Kluyveromyces lactis: one gene and its partners. The protein of the gene in region 1 purifies or fractionates together with the protein of each later gene. This does not show direct contact. Links are inferred from orthologs where the notes say so. Each region holds a gene or a part of one and is shown on either strand. Other genes may lie near its edges. The genes, in order: UTP20, UTP7, NOC4, NOP58, UTP6, KRE33 and RRP9.

Region 1 (3,979 bases):
AGAGAATTCTCACAATATAACCCATAACAGCTTCTTCATCTTGCTTTTGGATAGTTTTGGTGTCATCGGTTGCTAAAAACTTGGTAATTTCATCTTTAAATAAAGTGTCATCCAATAAGTTCTTCAAGTTTTCTCTGTACTTGGTTATATGAGATTCCTTGTAACAAAACAACGCATCTAAAGCTAATTTTTGAACTTCTGTAGTTCTGCTGCTCAAAAGTGCCATTAACCTATCGTGCACTTCCTCTGATTTGTAAATGGATTTGATATTTTTGAATTTGCCAACGAGCTTTAATAAAAGGTTTCTATCACTTTCAGTCCATTGTGATGCTGTTGGAATTAGTACATCCATACTTGGTTGATCTTCTGTGATAAAAATTTCTTCAGATTCTTCTTCATTAAATAAAAAAGGAACTATGTCCCTTGAATGACGCTCTGCCAAACTAGGAATCGACAATAAAACTTTGAATATCTGACTTCTAATCAATGATGGATATACCATAGAATTCCTTCTTTCCTCCAAAACATCCAATATAGTTGAATCGCTAGCAGAGTATTTTTTAAATACTTTGTCAGAAGCAAGGATGGAGTCATTCATTCTATTGATACTAACGGTCCAGAATGGTTCTTGAAGGTCAATGTTATTGGAAATGCTATAATATTTGACGTCCTTTGTTTCATCAAGAACAGTGAGGAAACGCATAGCCAAACTCCACACAAGGGATTGGTTTTTGGTGTAAACTTCTGGAATTATTTCATAGATAGCTTCCCAAATTGGAGAGAATCTGACAGTTAGAAGCCCAAACATATGTTTGAAAAAGACATTAGTCAATAAATCCTCAGCTTCCATCTTGGCAAAGTCTGCACCTAGTTTCCTTACTCTGAGAGTAATGTCACGGCTTGTATGAAGATCCAGAGGGATTTCTTCCAAAATCCTTAGATCATAAAATAATTGGGGAACTGAGTTGCCTTGCTTTTCTAGAACAGATATTATAAACTTAAGGGTTTCGTAACGGATGGTTTTGTCCGGAAGTAATAGATTATCTGTTAATATGGGTAAAATCTTTGATAAAGATTTCAAAATATCAGTGTCGTCCTCCAAATATGATAAAACATGTGAAATACCTTCAATAAAATATCTACTGTTCTGTAGCTCTATAATTCTCGGAACTAGAATATTCAATAATTTTGCAGCCATGACCGACTCAGATGAAGTGATTTTAAATGTTAATGCTTGAAGTAGGAAACCAACAAAATCCTTTTCAAAATCCGATAACACATCCTTTTGGAAAACCCTCTCTAGCAAATGCATAATGATTTCCTCATCCTCTTGTTTCAATGTCTTTAATATTATAAGTTTCCAATACACAGAAAAAATTTCCTGTTCATCGTTTACATTAGCATCGCTGATATCCTTCAACAACTGGGTTGCGAATTCCGGTGCAGAGAGATGATTTACCAAGTCCAAATCTTGTGAAGATTCCGATTCTAAAAGGAACAATGCAATCTTCTGAGCACCATCTGCCCAGCAGTTATTAACGTATTTCTGCAAGTATTTCAACCCGTTGAAAGAAAGCACTTTACCCTTATCGATATCCATAGAAATCTTGAAGAATTCAATGAAATGAGCTGAGAATTTCGTCAAGTAGAGTTCGAACATGTATTTATGCAGAGAAGTTAGCGTTTTAACGTCAGCATTACGTAAGACGATGGCAAATGTAAACGACACTAGATCTGCATGTGATTCATTTAGACTATCATGTTGAGTGGCTTTACGTAGAACACCAGATAACTTTTCCCAACTTGGTACTTTTCTACCACTCTCGGCAAACGATAGCGTAGATAACATTCTCAACGTTTTACCAACAGCAGCACTAGATCCGTTCAAATTCTCGTCCAAGAATTCAAGGATCAAATCGTATAAACTCTGAATATTCTCCGCAGAAGTGTGTCTAGTGATATCTAGAATGATGTCACAAAGTAAAGAGACACATACTATGTCTGAATTTTTCTCGAATGCGATTTGCAGAAGAGTTTGGAATATTATATTTGATCTTGAATGCAATGCCTCGGAAGTACTCTTCAATGATTCACCAAATAAAGTTTGCAAACCGTCATAAAAATTATCATTCTTTAACAAGCACAATTTTTGGAACGAAAATGTGACAAAAGTGGCCAAATGTTTCTGTGGAGATTTCCTTATTAGAAACGATAGAGCCTCAGCGGAGAATCTGGAGAGGTATTCTTTCTTATGTGACAATAACGGAAATAAGAGGTCGAAAGTGGGCGTCAAATTCTGAGTCAAACTACGTGACAAATACTTGAAAATGTATGCCAAACAATTGAACCCCCATTCGAACACGTTTGAGTTTTCAAATTCAGTGGCAGCTTCCAATAAGTTAATCAAACATGTAACCGCCCTTTCATAAAATTTCATGAAATCAGGTCCCAAATCATGACAGAACTGAGCCAAGAGATCACACAACGGCTGTAAAGATCTCTCATCGTGTTTATCTATATATTGCTCCAAATTCGCAAAGATTTCATCCTCATGGTACAAAAGTTGAGGCAAAGTTTGAACCAATTTCTCTACCGAATCCATAAAGGATCCGAAATTCCCACTCAAATTGATATCCTTCCAGTGTTCAAAAGAGGATAGAAAATGGGAGGTCTCTACATCATCATGAACCCTTCTATCCAAATTTCTAGCAGGTTCAATCTTCAAATCATCAATCTTATCCTTGAAAGATGAGTATCTATACCTCTTGGTAGATTTCGTTGTAGTCTTTTGCTTACCCATGGTTGATTATTTTAAAATGGGAAACAGAACAAGACTAGTCCTCAATGTTATATCAATGTACTGAAGCAGGTCTTGTATGACTGGTGATTGACAGTTACTGTGTGTAGACCCTCTTGTGTTTGTTGTTTATGCGATGAGATGAGATGAGATGAGTTTTCATGCTTTTCCAAATTCTGAAAATTTTCCCTTTACCTAGAATGGAACGTGAAGAAATCCAGTTTCTTTTTACGCAGGGCCGATCTGGAGGACGACTACGGCCACAGGACTGACCGCCAGCACTGATCATTTATGAGGTGTTTTTAACGGGCCAGGAAGGTACGATAGTTGTGGGAGTACTAATAGTAGAACCGCTACAATATATAAGTTGAGAGTATCCAACCTAGAATCGCGAGGTAATGATAGAACTTCAACTAATAAGAAACTCCATCGTCTCATTATACAAAAATTGGTAAACATTATGTAGCGCAGAAGTAGTGCTGATTTTGGAACTCAACTTGGTTATATTTGAGGCTCTGCAACATTTTCTGGACATTCGTGGTAAAATAGGTATATCCTTTCTCTTAAATTTCCAGTATTTCTCTCCATCGGTCTCTTGATATATTATATATACTGATATATATTTGCATATGGGGAATAGTCGTTTTTAAATGAAATTTGTCATGATTCGCGATCAGATTTCCTCGCTACTCTTGCTGCAACAAGGATATGCCAGCAGGACTCCAGAGGGCAGTCGATAGGAGTTTGAAATCCAACCTGCACACGAAGCTATCGCTGAAAGGAGGATTTCCCACTGGATTTTTTGTTACAAGTCGCTTCTCGTCCCCTTTTTTGTCTGTTGATATACAAGACCTTCGATCAAAAGGATCGGAAAACAAAGAGGGCTAACCCAACACCAAGAGCAGGACTCCTGAACTTACTAATTGAATAAACAAGGGAAGTATATCTTTTCCGGGTTCTAATATTGCTCTTACTTCGCCTGCTATGTCAACCACAACTACATCTACGCCATCCAGTGTTGTCAGCGCTGTTCAAAGTGCTACCACTACATCTGCTGATATTGATAACAACTGCTGGGGTCTCTCGTGTTCCTCCCACTGGGAATGGGCACGGTGGGTAATATTCGTTATATTCATGTTCATCTTACTGGCATTTGTCATCACTACGATAAGAATAAACTAT
Region 2 (3,568 bases), on another chromosome or scaffold:
GAGGTGGAACTGGAGGAAAAAAAGAAGGAAGAGGCCAAGAATACTGAAGAAGCTAAGATCAAATACACGACAACGAGCTATGATGTTGAAAACCTCACCCGTGTGCTTCCGCAGCAACTCAAATTCATATCTTTTGCGAAAGATAGCCGTTTTGTACCTGTTCGCAAATTCAGAGGAAACTCAGGTGTCATTATCGTTGAGGATAAGACACCTGAAGAACCACTAGAATTAATCAAGACCGTAAGACAAACAAAAGATATATATGCCCCATTACCATCTTCATTTAAAGTCGAGGATTCTCTTGAATTTTAATCGAGAAATTAGGTCCTAGCAATAGCGGTCATCCTTCATAATGTACAGTAAATAATCACCTCAAACTAAGTCGTATCTATATGCAAATAATTCAAACATGTTTTTGCAACAGTCGATACTAAGCCGGCTATAATAACAGATTATATAAGTGTTCATGTAAGTATACATATTGATAACTACTTGATGATTCAAGAAAATCTTGATAAGGCTTCATCAACAAGGTCTTTGTGATCATCAGCAAGTTCACCCTTCTTAATTTTTTCTTTTCTTTGGCGGCTAGACTTTTCCTTCTCTAGTTGTCTTTGTACCCTTAACTTCCTTTCATCCACAACATTACGAGTTTTCTTTCGTAGGAACGCACGTAATCCGGAGTTCTTACCTTTAACATCAGGTCTGGCATCAGGAATGTCTTTGTTTAGTTTGGATTTTTCTTGCTCTGCATTCGAGATAATTGCAAGATCCTTTGCATTTAATCTGACTTGAGAAGCACGAGAATCTACTGTACCTATTGTGTTTGGATTTAATGTTATAGAATCAGCAGGTAACTTATTCAATAATGATCTCACTTCTTGTTCCTGTCTCTGTTTGCTTGTTTCGTATGGGTTGGCCTCTAGTGCGTCGTAGTTGGCTTCCCCTGCGCCTGGAATAATCAAATTGGTTATACCCTTTTGATGTCCAACACCTAGCAAATCTTCGAATGGCGCAAACTGGAAGTTCTCTATTTTATTTCCAGCGAATAAATGAGACATATACGGAGTATTTCTATCTTTGTAACCGCTAGAGGTGAAATACGGTCTAGCAGCTTTCCCACTTTTCAACGTATCTTTCCAAATTGTTACATGAGGCCCTCTTGATACTGCAAGTAGACCTGTATCTGAAATTGCAACGTTAGTACCGGGCGTAGGCATGTTCTCAATACTATGTACTTCTTTAAAGTTTCTGATATCCCAAATCTTTAAAGATTTATCGGAACCAGTGGTGGCCATATAATAACCTTGTCTATCTACAGCAATTCCTGTTATTGATCCTCTAGATGATAATAGTCTTACCAGTGGTGATGGCATTGATGGTGACCATAGAGTGACTGTGCCGTTGCTATGTCCCAAATGCATTACTGCATTCCAAGGGTTCTGAGCCATCGCTGTAGTAGGACCTAGTTTAGTTCTGATCTCTGATACTAGTTGACCTGTCGAAACATCTTGATATTTCAAAAAACCTGTTTGTCCTGCTGTTGCCAAGAGATAATGATATGGTAAATATTCTAAATGTTTGACCTCTATGTGCTGCTTTAAACGATGCAGCTCTACACCTTCATGATCGTAAATGAACGTGTATTTTTTTTGTGCTACTGCAAAGAACTGTTCATTTTGCAAATATGTTGCTGCTTGCACTGTCTCCCCGAGATTTAGCTCACCACGAAGTTCACCTTTCCTCCAATCAAGAGATGCTACATGGCCCTTCCGACCTGCAATAAGCATATGCGTACCATTTCTGGAATAATTTACACGGTACGGACCAAAATCGTTTAATTTCAAGTCCAATGCCTTATTGGCCATGGAGGCGTCAACATGGTGTTTGATTTCAGCCTGTGTGAACTTGAACGTCTTTTCCATCTCATCTTCTGCTTCTAAATAACCATGCTCTTCGGGTAAAAGATATTCTGTAGCAGCAGTAGAGAGTACCGCTTCCTTATACTTCTGATCAATACGCTTCAATCCTGCCTTTAACTTCTTATCCTTGGTTTTCTTCTGCATCTTGTGAGACCCGTTGGCATCATCATCGTTATTCGATCTCTCAAATTTGTCCTGATTGTCTCTCCGTTGTAGGTCACTATACTGTGACTTACTACCTTTCTTAGCAACCATTATTGAATATTGATTCGGCTTCTCGTGAAGTGATACCTGATATCAGAAGATGTAGCAGTAAACTTGCAGAACCTTATATTGTGAAGCTCATCTCATCTCATCGTTTCTTAAAATTTTCGATATTGGATACTCGAGAAAAAAAGAAAAAATCCTTAAGTTGAGCTGAAGAATGATAGACATTACCAAGTAAGAATTGTATATGACTGATAAATAGATCAATCGGCGCATAGTACATGCCCAAAACGTGGGGAAATTCAGTTATAAATACCAAACCCAATGAGTCCAAACGATTTCTAACCAAAATAGCAATCATTTCTTCTTGAAAGAGTAGTTAAGAGTAGTTCCCTGAGTATTTTTCACTTGATCTGCATCCTGTAGTACCGGTGTAAAGTAGTATACTACCTTCTATGCATCTAGACATATGATAGGTATCTAAAAGAAATTAAATCAAAGTACAAATTAATATGCAATGGTGACCTCTGAGCTAATTGCACCAGGCATCTGCTAGTCACATACTTTTGTTCCTCACAGATGTGTTTCCGGAAAACACTCCGTCGAGTCTTAACTGAAAAATGAAATGAAAATGAAGAACTTGAACTAATGTTTTGGTCCTCCCGCAATGAATAGAGAGCTAGATCGTGTATCGTTGTTCTTTTCTCTTGTTATACAAGATTGGAATAGGCAAGTAGAGGTCACTCCGAATACCGCGTATTTTGCTTTTATCAACTATGAATAGTGGGTTCCCACGTATTTTGAGCAAGAAACTTTTTACGCTAAATCAATCGCAGTTCTTTGTCAAGAATGGCATGGTCCCATTGAAAGCAGGCATTTCTGGCCCTAAGCTTTTGAAGTACACTGTTGGGATAGCCATTGGTTCATTTGCGGGATTCTATTTCTCCAATTCGAGGTCTGCTTTCCATGAGTACGTCTTGTGCCCGATGTTGAGACTTGTAACGCCAGATGCTGAAGATGGGCATAAATTAGGTATCTGGTTCTTGAAGAATGGGTTGGCTCCAAGATTATGGTTCGATAACGATGATAAGGTATTGAATGTGAACATTTTTGGTAAGAAATTGACCAATCCAATTGGTTGTGCTGCCGGTTTGGATAAAAATGGTGATGCCATCGACGGTATACTTTCCGGAGGATTCGGTTATATAGAGATTGGTTCTGTGACTCCATTACCACAACCAGGAAACCCAAGACCTAGATTCTTTAGATTACCTTTGGATGATGCTGTTATCAACAGATACGGTTTCAATTCATCCGGCCATGACACCGTTGTCAACACATTACAATCCCGTATTACCAGTTTCATCAACAGTTACATGTTTAAGGACAATTCCGTTGAAAACTTGTCCTTATACAAAGACAAATTGTTGGGGGTCAAT
Region 3 (3,212 bases), on another chromosome or scaffold:
GTTATTATCCAATTCAATTGCACGTTTAGCATCGTCTAAAGAACTTTGGAAGTTATCCAACTTTAGGTTGGTGAACGCACGGTTTGAATATAGGATCGTATTCTCGGGATCATGCTCGATGGCTTTTGTATAATACTCAGCTGCCTTTGCGTACAGTTTCTCCTTCACGAACTTGTTACCTTCATTCTTCAGCTCTAAGGCTTTCTCTGGATTACAGGCTTTCACTTCCTCAGTCATTTATTCAATAGTAGTGGTAAAAAAGCAGCCAACTGGTATGGTATGTGCCTTTAAGTCCTCAAGACCGATAAACGGAGCCCATTTTAAAGTTTTTTCTGATGTGAGTCTTTCTCTTCTTGATGTTGACTTGTTGATTTTTTTCATCTCGATGTTTCAATATTACGGCGATGTGATGAGATGTAATGTGAAGAGATTTGCGAAAGTGAAAGAAAGTACTCAATTTGGAATTGAACTACTTAAGTTTTCTACTTGAAATTATGTATTTACCATTTTATGAAGGGTAGGAATGCTGAATCAGAACCTGATTCGAAAATTGTTTCAAACCTTTCGAATTCAAGAGCAGGTTGGATCTTCAGCTTTCTATTGGTTTCTGCTTGCAAAAGTGAATCGTAAGACCAATCTAAGAAATCTTCGATGTTGTAGCTTAACTTTTGGAAAGGTTGTTGGAAAATCTTCGCTAAAGTGGCTACGTTTGGATGGTAGTGATTCATTAGCGTTTCTAGCTCCCATACTGAGGAGGAAAGAGCATTTGTAAGTTCTGGATTGGTTTCTTCATTGTTGAATGGATCTAGATATTCTTGCCTTTTCTTTGAATCGCAGTCGATGTATTCTGGATCGTGTAATAGAATCATACATGTAGGATGCTTTCTGATTAGATTGTACACGAATGGTATTATAGAAACAATAGCACCTGGTGGTGCCGATACGGATAAACGTGCCAAACGTTTGATGAATGACGCTACCAGTTGTGCGGATAAATGTGTAGAAGATAGAAAGGTGTCCACTAATCTGAAAAATCTTGATCTGTACTTAACGTGCATTACTTCTGGAGTTAGAAGCTGATATAGTTTTGAGTAGAAATTTGGATATTCTAGGTTGTATTTTTTCATAAGTTCAAACAAACCATTTAATGAAAGGATTGAAACGATACCACCTTGGTTGTAAGAGTCGGTAAGGAAATCCATAAGCTTTGTTGGTTGATGGAACCATACTATAATTCTCTTGTGTAGCACTAAAAGCACAGTTTTATATTGGCTACTGGATAAGTTGGCTAAATTTAGACAGTGCAACCAATTTGTTTCGAGGTTGGATTTAAACTTAGCATCATTCTCGATGGCTTGTGGGGGCACAGATACGAATATTTCCAAGTCTGGTGATCCCTGAACATCGTTGTTGCATAAAGCCAACCATTTAGACATCAAAATTTCGTCAGATGTTTGGCCATCAAGTTCTGGTAACAACGATATCAGTTCTGATTGTGTGTAGAATTGAATATCGAAATTCTTCTTATAATAGGCTTCCACAAATAGATTAAACACGGGATTCTCGCTCTGACCATCTTTGAAACCGATATCACCTTCAAAGTTACAATGGAAAAGAGCCACTAGTAACGATCTTAAAGTCTTATTTGGAAAGAAAGGACTATTTGGTTTCGAAGCCCAATATATCGATTCATGGTGAAGCATTTTCATATATGAGTCCAAACAATCTAAACTCAACGAGTTAACTTCATGCAAAGATGTAATGATAGCCAATAACTTAACCTTATAATTTAAATATAGTTTCTTACACCATTCAAAGAATTTCTTTTCATTGGCATTGGATGCAAGATGAGGCATCAATTGACCACGCTCAAAAAGTTTGATGAAAATCTGACTCAAAGCAATGGTCATATAACGGTAATCATCTTCCAAATTGTGCAACAATTCGTTTTCCTTTAGAAGTTCATTGTACCCATGGATTAGGTTCACCAACGAGTTGTAATGTTTTCTATCATTGCCGGTGCTAATAGACTTCCAAACTTGCTTAATCTCTTCCTTCGAGAGCATCTTGGTTAATCGCTGTCTGAATCCTTGGGAAACTTTTATATGTGAATTCCAATTATTTATTGCGAGTAATCAAACAGATTATAACGGTGAGAATATCCTACCTTAACGTTTCCTATTCGACTTCATCTCATCTCATCTCATCTCATCTCATCTCTTGATTCCAAATTTTTCAGAGATTCTTGCAATGTAGAAGACAATTGAAAAGAAATTATTCTTATCACGTGATCGCATTTCCTAATAAACTAGCTATCAATGGCGACATTAAATATATAATTTAGAGTGGTAAACCATTCTGTTGTCAGTCAAGTCTTGCCTGCATCACCTTGAATACGCACACTGATGCTCGTTCCTTCAGGGGGTGCGTATCCTCCAGTTCACGGCAGCCTATGAGCCCTAACAGCATACAAATTTCAACGATTAGTATAAAATGATCTAGCCCGAATTTCATCATATATAAGAGAAAGATTTATGAACCAAGAAATTACAAGACACAATTGGTGATGTAGAAGAGATGTAACTTTGATAGGCTTTACTTGTATTACTCTTTTTGGGCTTAAATCCACATGACCTTCCAAGTTTTAAAAGAAGACGATGATACTATTTGCGCTTTTTTAATTCTTACAATTCTTTCGTGGATGGGAATTATTTTCTGTTCATGGTTTTAATGGAGAATGTGGTGCCCTCGCAAGCCTTATAATCTTGTTACATTCTTTGAATGATTTGGGACACTTTTTATAAAATTCTGATTCTTTTTGGGAAGGTCATCCCATGTATAGACTTGATGTGAGTTTGTGTGTTTGAGTCTTGCTTCTTGCTAATATGAATCGCCTTGTGCGATTCATTTCAAAAACTAAACTAACTGTAAACGTAAACGTAAATATTAGATAGAAAAAAATGCCGTGATACGATGGTATCGTGAATATGACAAGTCGGAGCGGGAACAAATGAATCAACTATGAATCAGAGTTAGAATCTGGCACCAATTTTCATTTTCACTTCGTTACTTTTCGTTTCTCTGCTGCTTTGTCATATTCTTTTGATATGCAATTGATACTGAGTCATTTTCAATATCTCGAAAGAAAAAAGAATACGGCGATTCAAGCTCTGGTGAAAAATTTTGGAAAAAGTATAAAGAATTGATGCTCA
Region 4 (3,418 bases), on another chromosome or scaffold:
TCTTCGTACTTTCCTATTTGTATCAGATGCACCTTCTTTTGATTCTGTTGACGTCTCAGTGGGCCTAGGTATAGTCTTCAAACCTAAACTTGCCCTAATTCGATTTGTTTCTTCCAAAGATATAGAAGTAATCTTACCCATGGCTTTGAAGTAACTGTATGCCTCGTAGAATTCGTATTGTGGTCGAATATCCTTATTATCAAATCCTGTTGCTTTCTTTCTGCCTCATCTCATCGCCAACTTGTCCGAATTTAAGAATTGTATATTTCAACATTTTCATCAGTGAATATTTTGATGTAACTATCAAAGCCATTGACGATGACAATGAGAAGAAGAGTACAGCGTATGACAATAATTCAATTATTATATTTTGTTTGAATTTGATACAGACTAATTTACAGAGGTACACACATAGTATGTTCGTATGTAATGGAACAGATTTATACGAGGTTATTAGAGATTTAATGCAAAAGAGTGGGGTTTTAATGTGAATACTATATCTATTTCTTTTCCTTCTTAGATTTCTTATCCTTTTTTTCTTTCTTTTCCTTCTTTTCCTTCTTTTCCTTCTTGTCTTTCTTCTCCTTCTTAGACTTCTTAGATTCCTTAGACTCTTCATCATCGTCTCTCTTTCTCTTCTTATCCTTCTTATCCTTCTTAGATTTCTTTTCTTCCTTGGTTTCTTCCTCGTCCTCGGATTCATCATCAGAGTCAGCAGGAGCAGCAGCTGAAGACACGGTGTCAGCATCTGCGTTGTATGCTCTAGCCTCTGTGATTTCAGTCTTCTTGTGCTCACGGACGACCTTTGGTGTGGTTCTCAAGTCTCTGCCTTCTAATTGGGACAATCTTGATTCTACCTTAGCTCTGGATTCCAAACCGATGTCACCAGAATCGTCTCTATCTTCAGCCAAAGCATCGTAACGCAAAGAAACGGCAGCCTTAGCAGCCAAAACTCTGGCAATCTTACCCTTGTTCTTACCAGATGCTTGGCCAACCAAGGAAGCGTGGTACAATAGACCATATTTAGGAGTGTCATGCTTAGTTTTCAATGCTCTGAAAAGAGCCTTTTCAGCACCCAAGATTTGGATGGTGGAAGCTGGAGACTTGGCCAAAGAGATTAAAGAACCAGAGTGTGCGATCAATCTAGCACCAACCAATTCACCAACTAATTGAGTCAAATTTGGAGCAATAGCCTTCATTCTTGAAGACAAATAGTTAGAAAGTTGTTCTCTGTAGGCAGCAAATTCAACAATTTGTTCGGCTAAACACTTGATATTAATCAAATCAACTGGGGTAATTTCAGTACCCATGGAGACTTCGGCAGCGGTCTTGACTCTCTCTTCAATTTCTTCAGGCAAAATTTCAGACATGTCAGTTTCAGCAGCATTAACTCTAATACCCATGGTCAAGATTATTCTGGCGTAAGCAACAGAATCAGTAACAATCTTGGCCAATTCTGGGAAATGCCAACCGTACCATTCCTTACATCTCATAGCGTAAGTGTTTAATTCTTTATCTAGATCGTCTAGCAAAGCAATAGCTTGGATGATCATAACATCAACTTTATCAGCAGAGAACTTCAATTTGTGACGACCGATGGAGTGAGCCAAACCCAATGACATCTTGGAAAGATCTTGATCGTTCAAACCTGGCAAAAGTTCTGGCAAGTACTCCTTGACTGCACGGTAAATATCTAAGGTGACGGCATCAGAGACAACGTTGAAGTTCAAACCCAACTTGTTGATAGCGTTTGCCAATTTAGTTTCAGAAACAACTAAGGTGGCCTTTTTGTCGGTCTTGCATTCTTCCAACAGTTTTTCCAATTGGGAAGAGACTTTACCATCAATCACAGAGTTAGCTTCTTCCAAAGCATTTGCAGCTGATGAAAATTTAGAGAAAGCAGCAATCTTGAATTGGTTCAAGACCTTGTCACTGCTGTTCAAATCCTGAATCAAAGAAGAGGACTTATAGATCTTCTTGTCAGATGCTTTCAAAAGAGCATACCCAGCTGAGGTTTCTGTCAAGACGTAGGCCATCGCTAAAAAGTCTTTTATGTGTATGTTGCTAGATGATCCTAATTATTCAACGGGTTCTTTGAGATATCGTAGATATGATGGATGTGCTTAATTCTTCAATCGAAACGTTAATACCATTCTGTAGTTCAATACTGATGAGATGAGCTTGTCGAAAATTTTTCAATGTTAGTTAAATTTCAAAAAGAAATGAAAAGAAAACACATCTGGACACCACATATATAAATCACGTGTTATAAAGGGACCAGATAAAGAACTGCACTGTTTGTTCTTCATATATCGAGACCAAGCACATTCCAATGGCCAATACGGTTCACAAAAGCATCAAACTAGACGTTGTATATTAAACAATATTTGCTGGTAGTTTTTAATTTATTCAAGTCTATACATAAGGTGAGATGTAGAATATATGTGCCAAATCAATTGACTTGTATACAAAAAATGTAGGTGTGAAATGTGATCATTAACTGTCATTTCCTCCCGTCTATCTTAAGTTCTCCGGTTATAGTCAAATATTCAAAGGGATTGAATTTCATATGCGATCATTGAAAGTGGTACATCATCAGTGAGGAAGGTTTTGATAAAAGCCTGCTCAGTGTAAAGGTAAGAGGAGGGAACACGAAAAGTAAAATACAAACTAGGTAATGGTAAATGGTGCCTCTACGCACCGCTCTCCTCAATTCTTGAAAATGCGGATGACAGCTGTCATGAAAATGGCGGATAGAACTGGAATAGTGAAGTTATCATCCCAGTTAAACAAGTCGATACCTTCACTCAAAGCTGCGACAAAACCACCTAATAGCGAAAGTTGTAGTAGGTTTAGTTTGCTTGTCTCTTCGGTCCAGGAGATTTCACCTGGTTTGTTCACCCAGTTATAATGAGGCACAAAGAATCCGTAAAATGAGTAACAAGTTATGAGACCAACGGAAAAGGCTGCAATGGAACCTGCTAAAGACTTATTTCTGGCCAATTTTGGTGTAAGGTGTCCGTACTTTCTACCGAAAGTAGACGCAGCGGTATCTGACCAACTTAGTAAGAACAGTGAGATTAACGCGATATCTTTACTAAAAAAGGAGAACGCAAAAGTCAGGCCCAATAAGTACCATAGGACTCCATTATACGTATGAATTTCTTTTTTCCTCATCAATGCCCCAACACAACGACAATACATTTTATTGAAGAATGGAGAACGTAGACGAATGAAGTCTAAAATAAATACGACAGTAAATCCTACTATCAATGGAAATTTCACTTTCTTGTAATCAACATTTTGAGTGTAAAGATATAGGGTAATAAAACCAATAGATGAATGGAATAGTTTCCGTGGTATTTCGTGTTTTGTAATGAAATCACCAAACCATTCATGTGACTTTAAATGAATTTCT
Region 5 (3,113 bases), on another chromosome or scaffold:
AACGTGATAAACAAGCAAGAATTATGACATTGGAAAGATTTGGAAGTCAAGTGTACTCTTCTTCTTCATCTAGTAACACTGCCCGTTATAGAGCTACTTCGGCCCATAGATCGCAAGCTGATTATGCTCAAAATTATAACGAAGGAAGTGGACGTAAGAAACTAATGACTATCAGTGACATTCAGCATGGGGCAGATTTCCAATTATTATCAGCTGAGGAACAGCAGTTATGCATAACGTTGAAAATTTTGCCAAAGCCTTACATTGCCATCAAAGAGGTACTATTCAGAGAATTAATACGGACTGCAGGTCAACTCTCGAAGAAACAGTGTCGTGATTTATTGAATATCGAGGCAACGAAGGCCAACAGAATCTATGATTTCTTCGTTTCTCAGAATTGGGTTTAATTAGAGTTATAAAACTGTGGAAATATTGGCTCCACTGCTTACCTTACTACTTAATGTCAAATATGTACATAAAAATGTGTATACAGTGTCTCATTACAGTTTCTTGATAATAGCATTCAAAATAGCATACTTCGAATCAGATTTATCCATATTGGATAATAGATGTTGGGTCAAATAACCAGAATATAATGTAGTAAGTTGTTTGGCATTCGTCTCATCTAATTTGCTGATGTATGCAGAATACTTTTTGAAGGACAATTGGAGACTGTCGATGTTTAATTCGCCGGCAGGCATGAATTTGATATTTAATGTAACATCATGCAATAATAATTCCACATATTTTTCTGGCATACTTTTCTCAAGGGAAATATTATAATGTTCGTCCTTTAGCCATTGCAATACGTGATTTATCAGATATTCTCTTTTTAAATCTTGAAATTCCGAAAATAAGTTGATATACTCGAGGCATCTATCAAACAGGTAGGACATAACGTTTCTGCTGAGCTCTTCATCGACTTGCGAATTGGTAACGGCGTAGTATCCTTGATGTTTCTTGACAAAAGATGTGCCCAGATTCTTCATTGCGATATCGAATATAACCAATGCGACATCACCACGTAGTGCTGGATTAGTTTCTTCTGATCCAAGCATATTCATATCGGCTTCTGGTAACTCGTTTAGTTTATCTTTCATCTTGTCACCAGTACTTGGAAGTTGAATTCCGTCTTTGTCAAAGTATGCTTCGTCATCTGCAGTTTCTTCCAGACCTGTTACATTACTGGAGTTTCTTCCTTCCTCTTGCTGTTGTAGCATATCTAGCTCTTGTTCCCTTTCGTTGATTAAATTCATCACTTTTCTTCTATTTAACAATTTTGTCACGAAATTCAGTTCGAATTTAACGTACTCGTACCAGAGTTTAGAAGCATCTGGATTAAATCTAAGACCAGTTTGAAAAACATTTCTACAGCTCTTGAAGTTTGCGTGCAATTCGTATTCATATTTAGCACATGATATCCAAACGTCAACGTTTGTTGGATGTAATTTGAGCAATTGATTGTAGACGTTTTGAATCTTTTTATAAGAGGCATTTGTACCCTTTGATTTTAAATGATTCAAATATAAAGACCAAAATTTCAATTTTTTTGGGAACTTATTGCAGCCTCTTTGGAAAATATAGAGAATCCTCTGCTGTATGGTAAAATCCGAAATACTATTTGATTTGTTCGATTGCAAGATACGTTTAACACGTTTCATTCTTAATGCATCGACATTCTTCTCGTATTCAATATATCTGATGTAATCACTTATACTTGAACCTCTCGAACTCAATCTGTGTTCAAAATCAGTCCTTTTCTTCATAATTTTGTTTACTTCATTCTTAGTGAATAACTTCTTCTGCACTAAGTCATCAACTTCTGGAATACATTGTTCCAAGTAATATCTTGTTCTGGATGACATCGCCTTACTCTGGGTAGTTTTATGTTAAGTATTGATTAAAGTGTAATCACGGAGACTCGTATCGCTCGCTTACTGACAAAGGAAACGACTACTGGCTTTGTTCATGCTAAATAATACTGAGATGAGATGAGATGAGCCTTGAAGCTTTTGAATTTTTTTGGTTATATTGATTTCTTTTTCATATAATCAGTCAGAATAAAGTCCTCCATTTAAATAACCATCGATGAATAACAAAAGGACAAGTACAATTGTTGTTCTGCTAGCGTAAATCGGATTTTTTTTTACTGCAAATTGAATCCGCTTACATATGACATTCGGGACTACCATAAACTGCGACCCTTAATGTCGTTGTATGCTTTCATACAAGATGACAGTTTTGTTGATCGTTAATTCGGGCAATTTAACATTACCCGGATATTTTACATGGTAGACAAATTTTCGATAATCAAAAATCTGAATATGAAATAGGTTGAATACTAAAGATGATTGATTTGTTTGCGGTGATCAGACATAGGAGTGTCCAATTGATCCCCTTTGTATCGAGACATTAAGTCAGTGTATCAGAATCAGCCATGTTTTCCAAGAGACAAGGTTTGAATTTGTGCAAAAACGTATGTCAAACCCATTTTCATCACTGTTGCAATGGTAAAGCGCGGGCTTTCCTCAAACTGCATGATGATATCCTTCCGCATTAAGCAGTTATATCACCTACTTTTAGAAGATCGATTTACTAACTATTGCTCGTAATTTTTTGTTACTCTTTTCCCTATTCTCTACAGGTCCGTTACGTTTCCAACAAACCCCTTCCTAATGCTAGTCTACCGCCAAAATATACCTTAGCAACGGTTCGTTCATTCCCATCATTAGAACCATTGACATTTGCACCAGTGCCAACCTCAGTATTTGATGCTCCATTGAGAAGAGACTTACTATGGCGTGCTGTTGTTTACGAAAATGACAGTAAACGTGTTGGGTCTTCTAACCCCCCAGGCAGAAGTGATGTTGGTTATTCGAGAAGAAAGATTTTACCACAAAAGGGATCTGGTATGGCCAGAGCTGGTGACGCTAATTCACCAATAAGGCATAACGGTGGTAGAGCTCTAGCAAGAACTGCACCAAATGATTATACCACAGCGCTCCCAAAGAAAGTGTACTCTTTAGCATTCAATAACGCACTAAGTCATCAATACAGAAACGGTAACGTCTTCGTCATCGGAAGTGGTGACGGAATCTCCGAAACAAGCCAGG
Region 6 (4,053 bases), on another chromosome or scaffold:
CAATAGACTCGCTTAAAACTTCCCTGAAGAAATTGGTGAATTTCCTGATAATCTTGGAGAACATGGCAATAGTTTGATTGGATGGTAAGTTCAACTCTTTCGTTATGTCATCAATGCCCTTGTGTTGCAAACCAATTGCAAGTAGTATACACGATTGTACGCTTGATAATGATACACCGTCACCCAGCTTTCCACTAAAGTATAGCAATGCCATCATTGGTAGAAGATCAACAATGACATGATAATCCAGTAAGTTGTTAGCATAGCTTTCTAACCTCTTTAGATCGAATGGAGAAAAGATGGAATCCAATTGGTCCCTTGTTAAAACCTTATTCTGGAACGATCTGCCCTCCGAGTCTTGGTCTAGTGTTTCACCCTTCTTAGCAGATTCAATGACATTTAACGCTTCGATGGCAGTGAATTTCTTAAAGTCGAACGATAATAAAGACAAGAATCTTTTATGGAAATCTTTGGCAAATTCTGCCAGCCATTTTGATTCACGACCTTCAAGAACTTTAACCATAACACATGTATGTTCACCAGTCAAATCATTCGCTGTTTGACGTAAGTAAACTGGGACAAATCCGTTGTTTTTCCAGAACTTATGTAAAGATTTTGTTAAACCATATGAAACACCTAAGTAATGCAAAAAGTGAGGGGTTTGTTCTGAGAGTTTCAGAAGCAATGGTGGCAACGTCTTTGCATCCCTTAATTTGATTTCATCTTTCAAGAGGTCTGCTTTCTTCAAATCCCTGTCATCGACTCTCTTGATTGTGTAGTCCTTTTGTACCGTATCTTCATTCAAATCGGTGAATTTACCTTCGAAATGATCTTTCAATAACTCCAGAGCCCTAGACCCATAACCCATAGAGGCGTATTCCGGATTGGTTGCAATCCTAACAACACGGGCACCACTCAAACCGGCAAATTCTTCATCTTGAAATTGCTGTGAGATTAGCCATGGAATTAAGTCACCACCAGCTCTTTGACCTCTTGCCAAAGAATTTCTGACAGAATCCTTCGAGATCTCACCTTCCAATGCGACCTGGATGACCACTAAGGGATCAGGTATTCTGCCGCCATCTTTTGGATCGATGGGAGGCAATAAAACGAATAGTTGATGAGCAGGTGCATCACTCATTAATTGCAAGTCGTTAGGAGAATTCTTGTAATGCGATGCGACATAAAGAGCCATCATCTTCTCCAGAAAATTTTCAGAAACAGGATGATAAGAAAATAGAGTATCTCTATTGACGATGAATAAATTACATTGAGATGGATGAGGTGTGCCTCTAGCAGCAAATCTTGGATTTTTGATTAGTTGAACGTCCAAACAAAGTAATTTATTCAACCATTTTTCAACTGGGTCACCAGGAGCGTATCTGATAGGTTCATCTAAGACAACTTCTCTCAAAGAACGGCCACTTGTTTGAACTTCTTGTTTCTTTGAATCTCTGGAAACAAGTGCTGTTTCGGAATCTTCACGGCCAGTACCGTTGGATTGAGTTCTTAGCTGTTGAATCAATTTCAAAGACAAAGATCTACCGGTACCTTCATAACCGTTAATAGTGGATGCCATAAACACTAAGTACGGACCCAAAAGCTTCTTTACAAGTGGTAGTGGAATTGCGGCAGCTTCATCAATGACAACAAGTTCTGCCTGTCCCAACACATGAGAATCATTTGGAATAATATATTGAATGGTCTGTCTATGTTCTCTCTTGATGTCTACTCTGACTATGGCTTTGTTGAAGCTTGGATTGGTGGACTGAATGATATCATAATCAATGTGCTCCTGATAGCCTAGAGCGTCAAATCCTTTGAAAATAAACTCAAATAAAGTCTTCAAATTCTCAGGGGAAGGAGATGTTACAAAGATATTGGAGTAACCATGGGATACAGCAGCAGCAATAGAAATACCTAGAGCAGCTGATTTACCTCTACCTCTACCTGCCGTCAATGCTACAGTTGAATTTAAAGTTTTCTCTGAAATGGCATCAATGAAGGTCAAGATTGCATGAGCTTGATTAACCGTTTTTGAAAGAGCAACTAATGATCCCGCAGGCTGAACATCTTCTAAAGACACTTTCAATTCTTTTAGTTCTTGATTTTTTGGTGAAATTTCTTCATCATCCTTTGGTGGAAGTGGTTTTACGTTTTTTCCTCCAGATATAGGTAAAACGTTTAACTCACTATCTACTACCAAACAGTTTTCATTCGAACCCAAGGACAAGATAAATCTTTCGTTGAATCTTGCCACGACATCGTCATGAGCTTCCGTTCTATAACGAGAGTGGATATCCATAGTCATAGTGTATAACTGTTTTAGAGAGGAAATGGACTTTAACATGATAACAATGATACCACCACCTTCAACGGTTTCGATGGTTCTTGCTAGCAAATTTGGAGTCAAAGCTTCAAAATCTTGTAGGATACACATACCATAAGTGTTACCCAAAATTTTTTCAGTTTCCTTATAATAACAGTATCGAATGTTTTGGTTAGAGATGAAAGTTTCAAAAGGATCTTGTTCATTTATCTCTCTGGTACCTCTCTTGATCTCTTTCTTAATCTTTGCTTCTCTCTTCTTCCTGTGTGAAGTGAAACCCAAGAGTTTCTTCTTATACGTCCATAACACGGATTTATTCATTTTGAGGTCAGCACTCATCATTAAATAGTGCAAGTTCGGTAGCTGGTTACGAGCATTGTCACCAACGATAACGAAAAATGATCTCTGATTTGTTTGAACACCATTTCTGATGAGAGCTGGGATACGAGAATCAATAGCTTTTTTACCCATCGTAATCTAACTTCTGGTTTAAAGTTTTAAGAACACACTCTTTAACAACAAACAATGACAGTTACGTTTCGCTGGAAGTTCGACCGTTGGGAAGAGTTAGTGTTTTTAATGATTTTTTTTGTAGTAACGAAGTACAGTAATCAGGTATTTTGGGGAGAAATAAACGTCTCGTAATACTCAGATAGCTTCTCAGCAAACCACCTCATCTCATTTGATCTCATCTCATCTCGAAATAAAATTCCTACCTAATACGATGAAATAGTAAAAAGACAATGAAAAAAAAAAAAAAAAATTAGGCAGAGAAAAGAAAAGATACTACTTACCCGGAATTATTTGATGAAAATATACTGTTACCCGCATGAATTTCATGCGCAGTGTAATTTCGGCGGCTAATTTCAAGAAATGACTACGTGTGCATAATGCACCATTATGTGATGTCGACTAATATTTTAAATTCATATTTAAACTTCAGTAGTAGTTTTCATGGGTATTAATTAAAGTTTTCTTCATGACTGACGAAAAGGGAAAAACTAACATTATATAAATACCAGTATTTTTGTGTCACAAGGAATAAGGGCAATATTCTTATGAAATAGATCCGATGAATAAGATAAGAGGTTAAGAACTGACATCAGAACGAGGTTCGATTATAAGGTTGTTTCTTTACCTGAACAAGCGCAGTTGTGGTTATCTCTTATACGGAACGTACGATTCCTAGGTTTTATTTTGGTTTTATTTTTTCGTGGTCATTCAGGTAAGCTCGGCGGTTATTCCATAGCAATAGCCAGGAGGAGAGTGAGAGCTAACTATATTTTCTTTTAATAGGAACAGAGTATAGTTTTATGTGATCAAACTTGCTATGATGGAGGATTTGGACCATCTGAACGATGAGAATATCAATATAGATGAGAACGAATTTTTGGAAACACTTGATAATGCTGACGGGGACGTGATCAAAACTTTTAGGAACGCTGACGGGTCATTAAGTAGTCATTTTGACAAGAGAAAAGTTCGTATTGCTCCAAGGTCAACATTGCAGTTCAAAATAGGCCCAGGCTTTACGCCAGTGGTGCCCAATCACAAGATATTGAACGATTTTGGACAGATTCAAGAAATCAAATTGGAGCCTCGGATTGATCGAGGGTTTGATTTCATAGATGACGATTGGATTGGTTATAAAAGAAATTATTTCACCGTGGTAACTTCATTTGACACACCGGGGACTGATCATATCGAGTTCATGAAACAAGCGT
Region 7 (3,661 bases), on another chromosome or scaffold:
TTGATTGGTGCTGCCGCTGGTATTGCTTTGGCCTTCCTATGATTCCTTTACTTTGGGAGTTGTTTGCTTTCTCTTGAGACGATTTGTGTTGTTTATTACTCTTTCGTTCCTTGCTTGTTTACAAGAACATGAGGAACGCTTAATACTTAAAATAAAAAAATCCATTTGACTTTTCCCGATCTTTTCCTTTAATCCTTTGAGCTATTCCTTTGATGTTCCCGCATTTAATTCTCTACGTCGCTGGCTATGTGAATTAAATCTTATCTGTTCTCAAATTCGTTCTCTAACACCTTATTTTATCATGGCTGACAATGAAAGACACTACTCAAAATCATGTCACAATGATTTCTATTAATCCTTTCCTAGTTCTCTACATCATTGATCGGTTAGAGCTCTCTATATATAAATATATACCCTTGTAACAATTACTAATGTATTTCGGCTTTATTAAAGTATTCTTCTTTTTACTATACAGGAGATTTTTCTATTGATAAGATTAACTAGAATCCGGTTTGTTCTATCACAGCAGAAAAGATACCATTTCTTGCACCTGGTACCTTGCTAATCCATCTTCCTAATCTATGTTCTTTACTGACACTTGCTAGAATTCTGAAGGTTTCTCTACCGGTTCTGCCGGATTCTACGGCTTGAATTTTGGTTACCACACCTTTACAGTTAGGTAAGTCTCCTAATAGTTCAAATGCTCTTAAGTTCTCATTGATTTTCCATACCTTCAGGGTTCCATTCCAGGATCCTGAAATGAAAATATCAGAATATGGAACGGCGTATAATGATGTTATCCAAAATGGTTGGGCAATGGATCCACCTTGTAATTGTGCATTGCGTAATTCATCGCTCACTTCCCCAGAGATTTTTTTATCCTCAACTAATGGTACAACACCATGAGCAGTTCTAACGGTGAAAAGAGGTTTCTTTTTGGATAAAGACCATAATGATATATTTCCGTTATCAGAGCCAGTAACGAAATGTGAATCATCTACCATGCTAATACAATCGATACTTCCCTCGCCATAAAAGTGAGGTGGGGTCTGTTCATGCATATCTTCTCCGCCTTCTGCGGACAATTGTTGGTTCTTCAACCATTTTTTCCTCAGTCTTTCAGGATCATCACCACCTCTGAATGTCAATCTGGATTCGTCAGCTATTTTCCACAACATAGCGGTACGATCCCTGGACCCCACTGTCACACAACGCTCCATATTTAGGGCAGAGATATCAATAACCAAATCCTGATGACCGTATAATATTTCCAGTTGAGAAAACTGGTTAATAGCATACGTTCTGATTTTGTAATCGGCACATGCTGCGAATAATTGATCCGAATTCTTCTTGAATGCTAATCCTAAAACCTCACCTCTACGATCTTTGGTTGGAATAATTTTCACAGGGGCTAAAGATTCGGTACTCCATACTATCAGTTTACGGTCACGACCACCACTAACTACGTATTTACCATCAGGAGAAGCTGCCACCGTTAAGATTTCATCGTAATGACCTTCTGTCACATTCTCGTACTCAAATTTACCTTCCGGTATGTATTTTCTACCACCTTTAACATATTTCACTTTTTTTGGTCTAGCTTTGAAATCAGTAACATCATATTTTGTTAATTGCATGTCCTTGCTAACAGTGTAAGCAAATATTTTGTCCTTGCTCTTATTTTGAACATCTTTATGAGAAAACTTGTTAACTGAGGGTTGATAACACGAAATACATGTTAGATTATTTTCGCCTACTCTTGTAAACGTTGTTCTGGATTCACCTATCAAAAGCTTATTTGAAATCCATCTATAGATACGCCCTTGTTGCTCTGCAACATCTTGTTTCAATCTGGAAGCAATGATATCTCTGTCCAAGTCACGAGCATCAAAGTTATTGTAATCCTCTAATTGTGTTTGACGGTCCTGTTCAGTGCTTGCGGTCGCCAGAGAATCGCCAATATCTTCAGCTTCAGCCTTTAAATTCTCTAAATATTGTTTAGCCAATCTTCTTCTCTTATCAGCAGGGTTTTCGCCTTCAAACTCGTCTTCAGATTCCAAGTATTCTGCTACCTCATCGCCATCATTGGATTCATCTTGGACATCACCTTCATCAGAAGAAATATCCGTGATTTCCTCATCTACCTCTTCGACAGAATCCCTATTACGTTTTTTTGAGACATTGCTTGTACTAGATCTAGCCATGGTGTACTTGGTGGCCCTCTGGTTGCTGTCTCGTCTGGTTTAGTTGCAGCTCATCGCCTGTTTCAATGATGTTGGTTCAGATGTACAATTTTTTTTTCAGTATCGCCAATTTGTAAAAGAAACGACACCACTTGAAAAGTGACAAAAATTGAAGAATGCATGAACTTGCAACAGAATTAAATAATAGTTTGGAAGACTTTACTCGATTCAACGACCTATATGCCTGATTTCATTGGTATTGCTAGAATTACTTAGTTTAATTTACATTACGGCAGAAAATGAACGTCAATGCACGGATCGGAAAATCAATTATTATTTAAACTGACAATACTTATTCTAGTCCAGATAAGAAGAACAGGGGATTATCATATATTATTGAAATCGGCCTCAAATTTGGCCTCAATAATCGTGTTGATTTTTCTTACTAGTGGAAGTAGTTCAGCTCTTTCTGCAATTTTTCTTGCAGCAGATAGGGCCTTATCTTGCTTCAGTTCGTTGACGATTGAAACGGCCTTGTTAACATCTTGCTCGGAACAGACATAAGCTAAAAGTCGTAGTAAGGACTTATCATGTGTTGCTACCAGATGCTGTAATAGATCTGTTTCATTTCCGTATATCTCACCTTCATTATCCATCGTGTCTTTTAGTAAATCACTTAGTATCTTGGAGCGTAGAAATTCCTCTTCTGCTGCTAGGTACATTGGAATTTCGACACCATTACTGTTATCAATATCTTCCACATCGCTGCTGTCGTTACGATTATCGTCTTGTGTCTTTTGAAGCTCGGATTTTGATACAACTGGGATTCTGACTTCCATTTCTGTAGGAACGGTCATTGGGATATCTGGCCATGCGTTCTTCCCCTTCAATAATAAATACGAAAATGTATCGAAGTTTAATCCTAATGGCCAAACGTGGACGTTCTTCGGATGCTTACCCCCTGACATCTTCCAAAGTTCTAAATTGGTATCAACTATGGGTACCCATCTCGCGTCACTACCACTTCTCCATTTGGACAGAATTAACAAAACATTATCATGACCAAACATACACGGATCACCAAAGCTTGAGAAGAATAAGGATTTGATACCTAGGGGGTTGAATGAATTGAAAATATCATCGTATTTTAAAAATTCAATGTCTTCATCATCATTTCCCGGCTGATTCTGTTGAGGCAACGTTATTGGTAAGGGAGATTCTCTTTGGAAGTATTTATTGCCAGTTTGCGGATGTTGTTGGAACATCGAGTAAGTAATACCATGATATTGTGAGTAATGAATGGTGAACACTTTGTACTCATGAGCAGACAAAGCAACAATAGGTGACATTTTTTCTATTGCCAGTGGTAACCCAAAATCGTTATAAGTACGAAGATATCCGAGAGATGTTCCTACAATTACACGTTTAGGAGTACAGGCAATTGAAGTAACTCTTTCTTTGGAAAGTAAGGGAATCTT

Evidence for each region.
Region 2: the proteins of UTP20 (region 1) and UTP7 purify together in Saccharomyces cerevisiae (affinity purification with mass spectrometry; 4 studies listed by BioGRID). This does not show direct contact. The link is inferred for Kluyveromyces lactis from reciprocal best matches to the Saccharomyces cerevisiae genes UTP20 and UTP7.
Region 3: the proteins of UTP20 (region 1) and NOC4 purify together in Saccharomyces cerevisiae (affinity purification with mass spectrometry; 8 studies listed by BioGRID, with this or other methods). This does not show direct contact. The link is inferred for Kluyveromyces lactis from reciprocal best matches to the Saccharomyces cerevisiae genes UTP20 and NOC4.
Region 4: the proteins of UTP20 (region 1) and NOP58 purify together in Saccharomyces cerevisiae (affinity purification with mass spectrometry; 4 studies listed by BioGRID). This does not show direct contact. The link is inferred for Kluyveromyces lactis from reciprocal best matches to the Saccharomyces cerevisiae genes UTP20 and NOP58.
Region 5: the proteins of UTP20 (region 1) and UTP6 purify together in Saccharomyces cerevisiae (affinity purification with mass spectrometry; 3 studies listed by BioGRID). This does not show direct contact. The link is inferred for Kluyveromyces lactis from reciprocal best matches to the Saccharomyces cerevisiae genes UTP20 and UTP6.
Region 6: the proteins of UTP20 (region 1) and KRE33 purify together in Saccharomyces cerevisiae (affinity purification with mass spectrometry; 3 studies listed by BioGRID). This does not show direct contact. The link is inferred for Kluyveromyces lactis from reciprocal best matches to the Saccharomyces cerevisiae genes UTP20 and KRE33.
Region 7: the proteins of UTP20 (region 1) and RRP9 purify together in Saccharomyces cerevisiae (affinity purification with mass spectrometry; 5 studies listed by BioGRID). This does not show direct contact. The link is inferred for Kluyveromyces lactis from reciprocal best matches to the Saccharomyces cerevisiae genes UTP20 and RRP9.

What each region holds. Positions count from the first base shown.
Region 1 is NC_006041.1:1,547,840-1,551,818, forward strand, and holds the start of UTP20 (Utp20p), read right to left. Parts: upstream 2,801-3,979; coding exon 1-2,800. Other genes in the region: KLLA0_E17447g (resistance to Congo red protein), read left to right, coding at 3,782-3,979. UniProt on the Saccharomyces cerevisiae protein: Involved in nucleolar processing of pre-18S ribosomal RNA and ribosome assembly.
Region 2 is NC_006039.1:804,121-807,688, reverse strand, and holds UTP7 (Utp7p), read right to left. Parts: upstream 2,178-3,568; coding exon 501-2,177; downstream 1-500. Other genes in the region: proteasome regulatory particle base subunit RPN2, read left to right, coding at 1-312; KLLA0_C09240g (dihydroorotate dehydrogenase 2), read left to right, coding at 2,906-3,568. UniProt on the Saccharomyces cerevisiae protein: Involved in nucleolar processing of pre-18S ribosomal RNA.
Region 3 is NC_006038.1:952,973-956,184, reverse strand, and holds NOC4 (ribosome biosynthesis protein NOC4), read right to left. Parts: upstream 2,067-3,212; coding exon 501-2,066; downstream 1-500. Other genes in the region: PPT1 (protein serine/threonine phosphatase), read right to left, coding at 1-237. UniProt on the Saccharomyces cerevisiae protein: Involved in nucleolar processing of pre-18S ribosomal RNA and ribosome assembly. Has a role in the nuclear export of 40S pre-ribosomal subunit to the cytoplasm.
Region 4 is NC_006042.1:801,123-804,540, forward strand, and holds NOP58 (RNA-processing protein NOP58), read right to left. Parts: upstream 2,037-3,418; coding exon 501-2,036; downstream 1-500. Other genes in the region: U4/U6-U5 snRNP complex subunit SNU66, read right to left, coding at 1-141; DGK1 (diacylglycerol kinase), read right to left, coding at 2,710-3,418. UniProt on the Saccharomyces cerevisiae protein: Required for pre-18S rRNA processing. May bind microtubules.
Region 5 is NC_006038.1:119,427-122,539, forward strand, and holds UTP6 (snoRNA-binding rRNA-processing protein UTP6), read right to left. Parts: upstream 1,866-3,113; coding exon 501-1,865; downstream 1-500. Other genes in the region: chromatin-binding transcription regulator ADA2, read left to right, coding at 1-407; YML6 (mitochondrial 54S ribosomal protein uL4m), read left to right, coding at 2,438-2,476, 2,645-3,113.
Region 6 is NC_006042.1:2,272,077-2,276,129, forward strand, and holds the start of KRE33 (ribosome biosynthesis protein KRE33), read right to left. Parts: upstream 2,801-4,053; coding exon 1-2,800. Other genes in the region: transcription factor NDT80, read left to right, coding at 3,660-4,053. UniProt on the Saccharomyces cerevisiae protein: RNA cytidine acetyltransferase with specificity toward both 18S rRNA and tRNAs. Catalyzes the formation of N(4)-acetylcytidine (ac4C) at positions 1280 and 1773 in 18S rRNA.
Region 7 is NC_006038.1:970,261-973,921, forward strand, and holds RRP9 (ribosomal RNA-processing protein RRP9), read right to left. Parts: upstream 2,205-3,661; coding exon 501-2,204; downstream 1-500. Other genes in the region: KLLA0_B11055g (uncharacterized protein), read left to right, coding at 1-42; chromatin-binding protein CTF4, read right to left, coding at 2,570-3,661. UniProt on the Saccharomyces cerevisiae protein: Involved in nucleolar processing of pre-18S ribosomal RNA. Required for efficient pre-rRNA cleavage at sites A0, A1 and A2, and biosynthesis of 18S rRNA.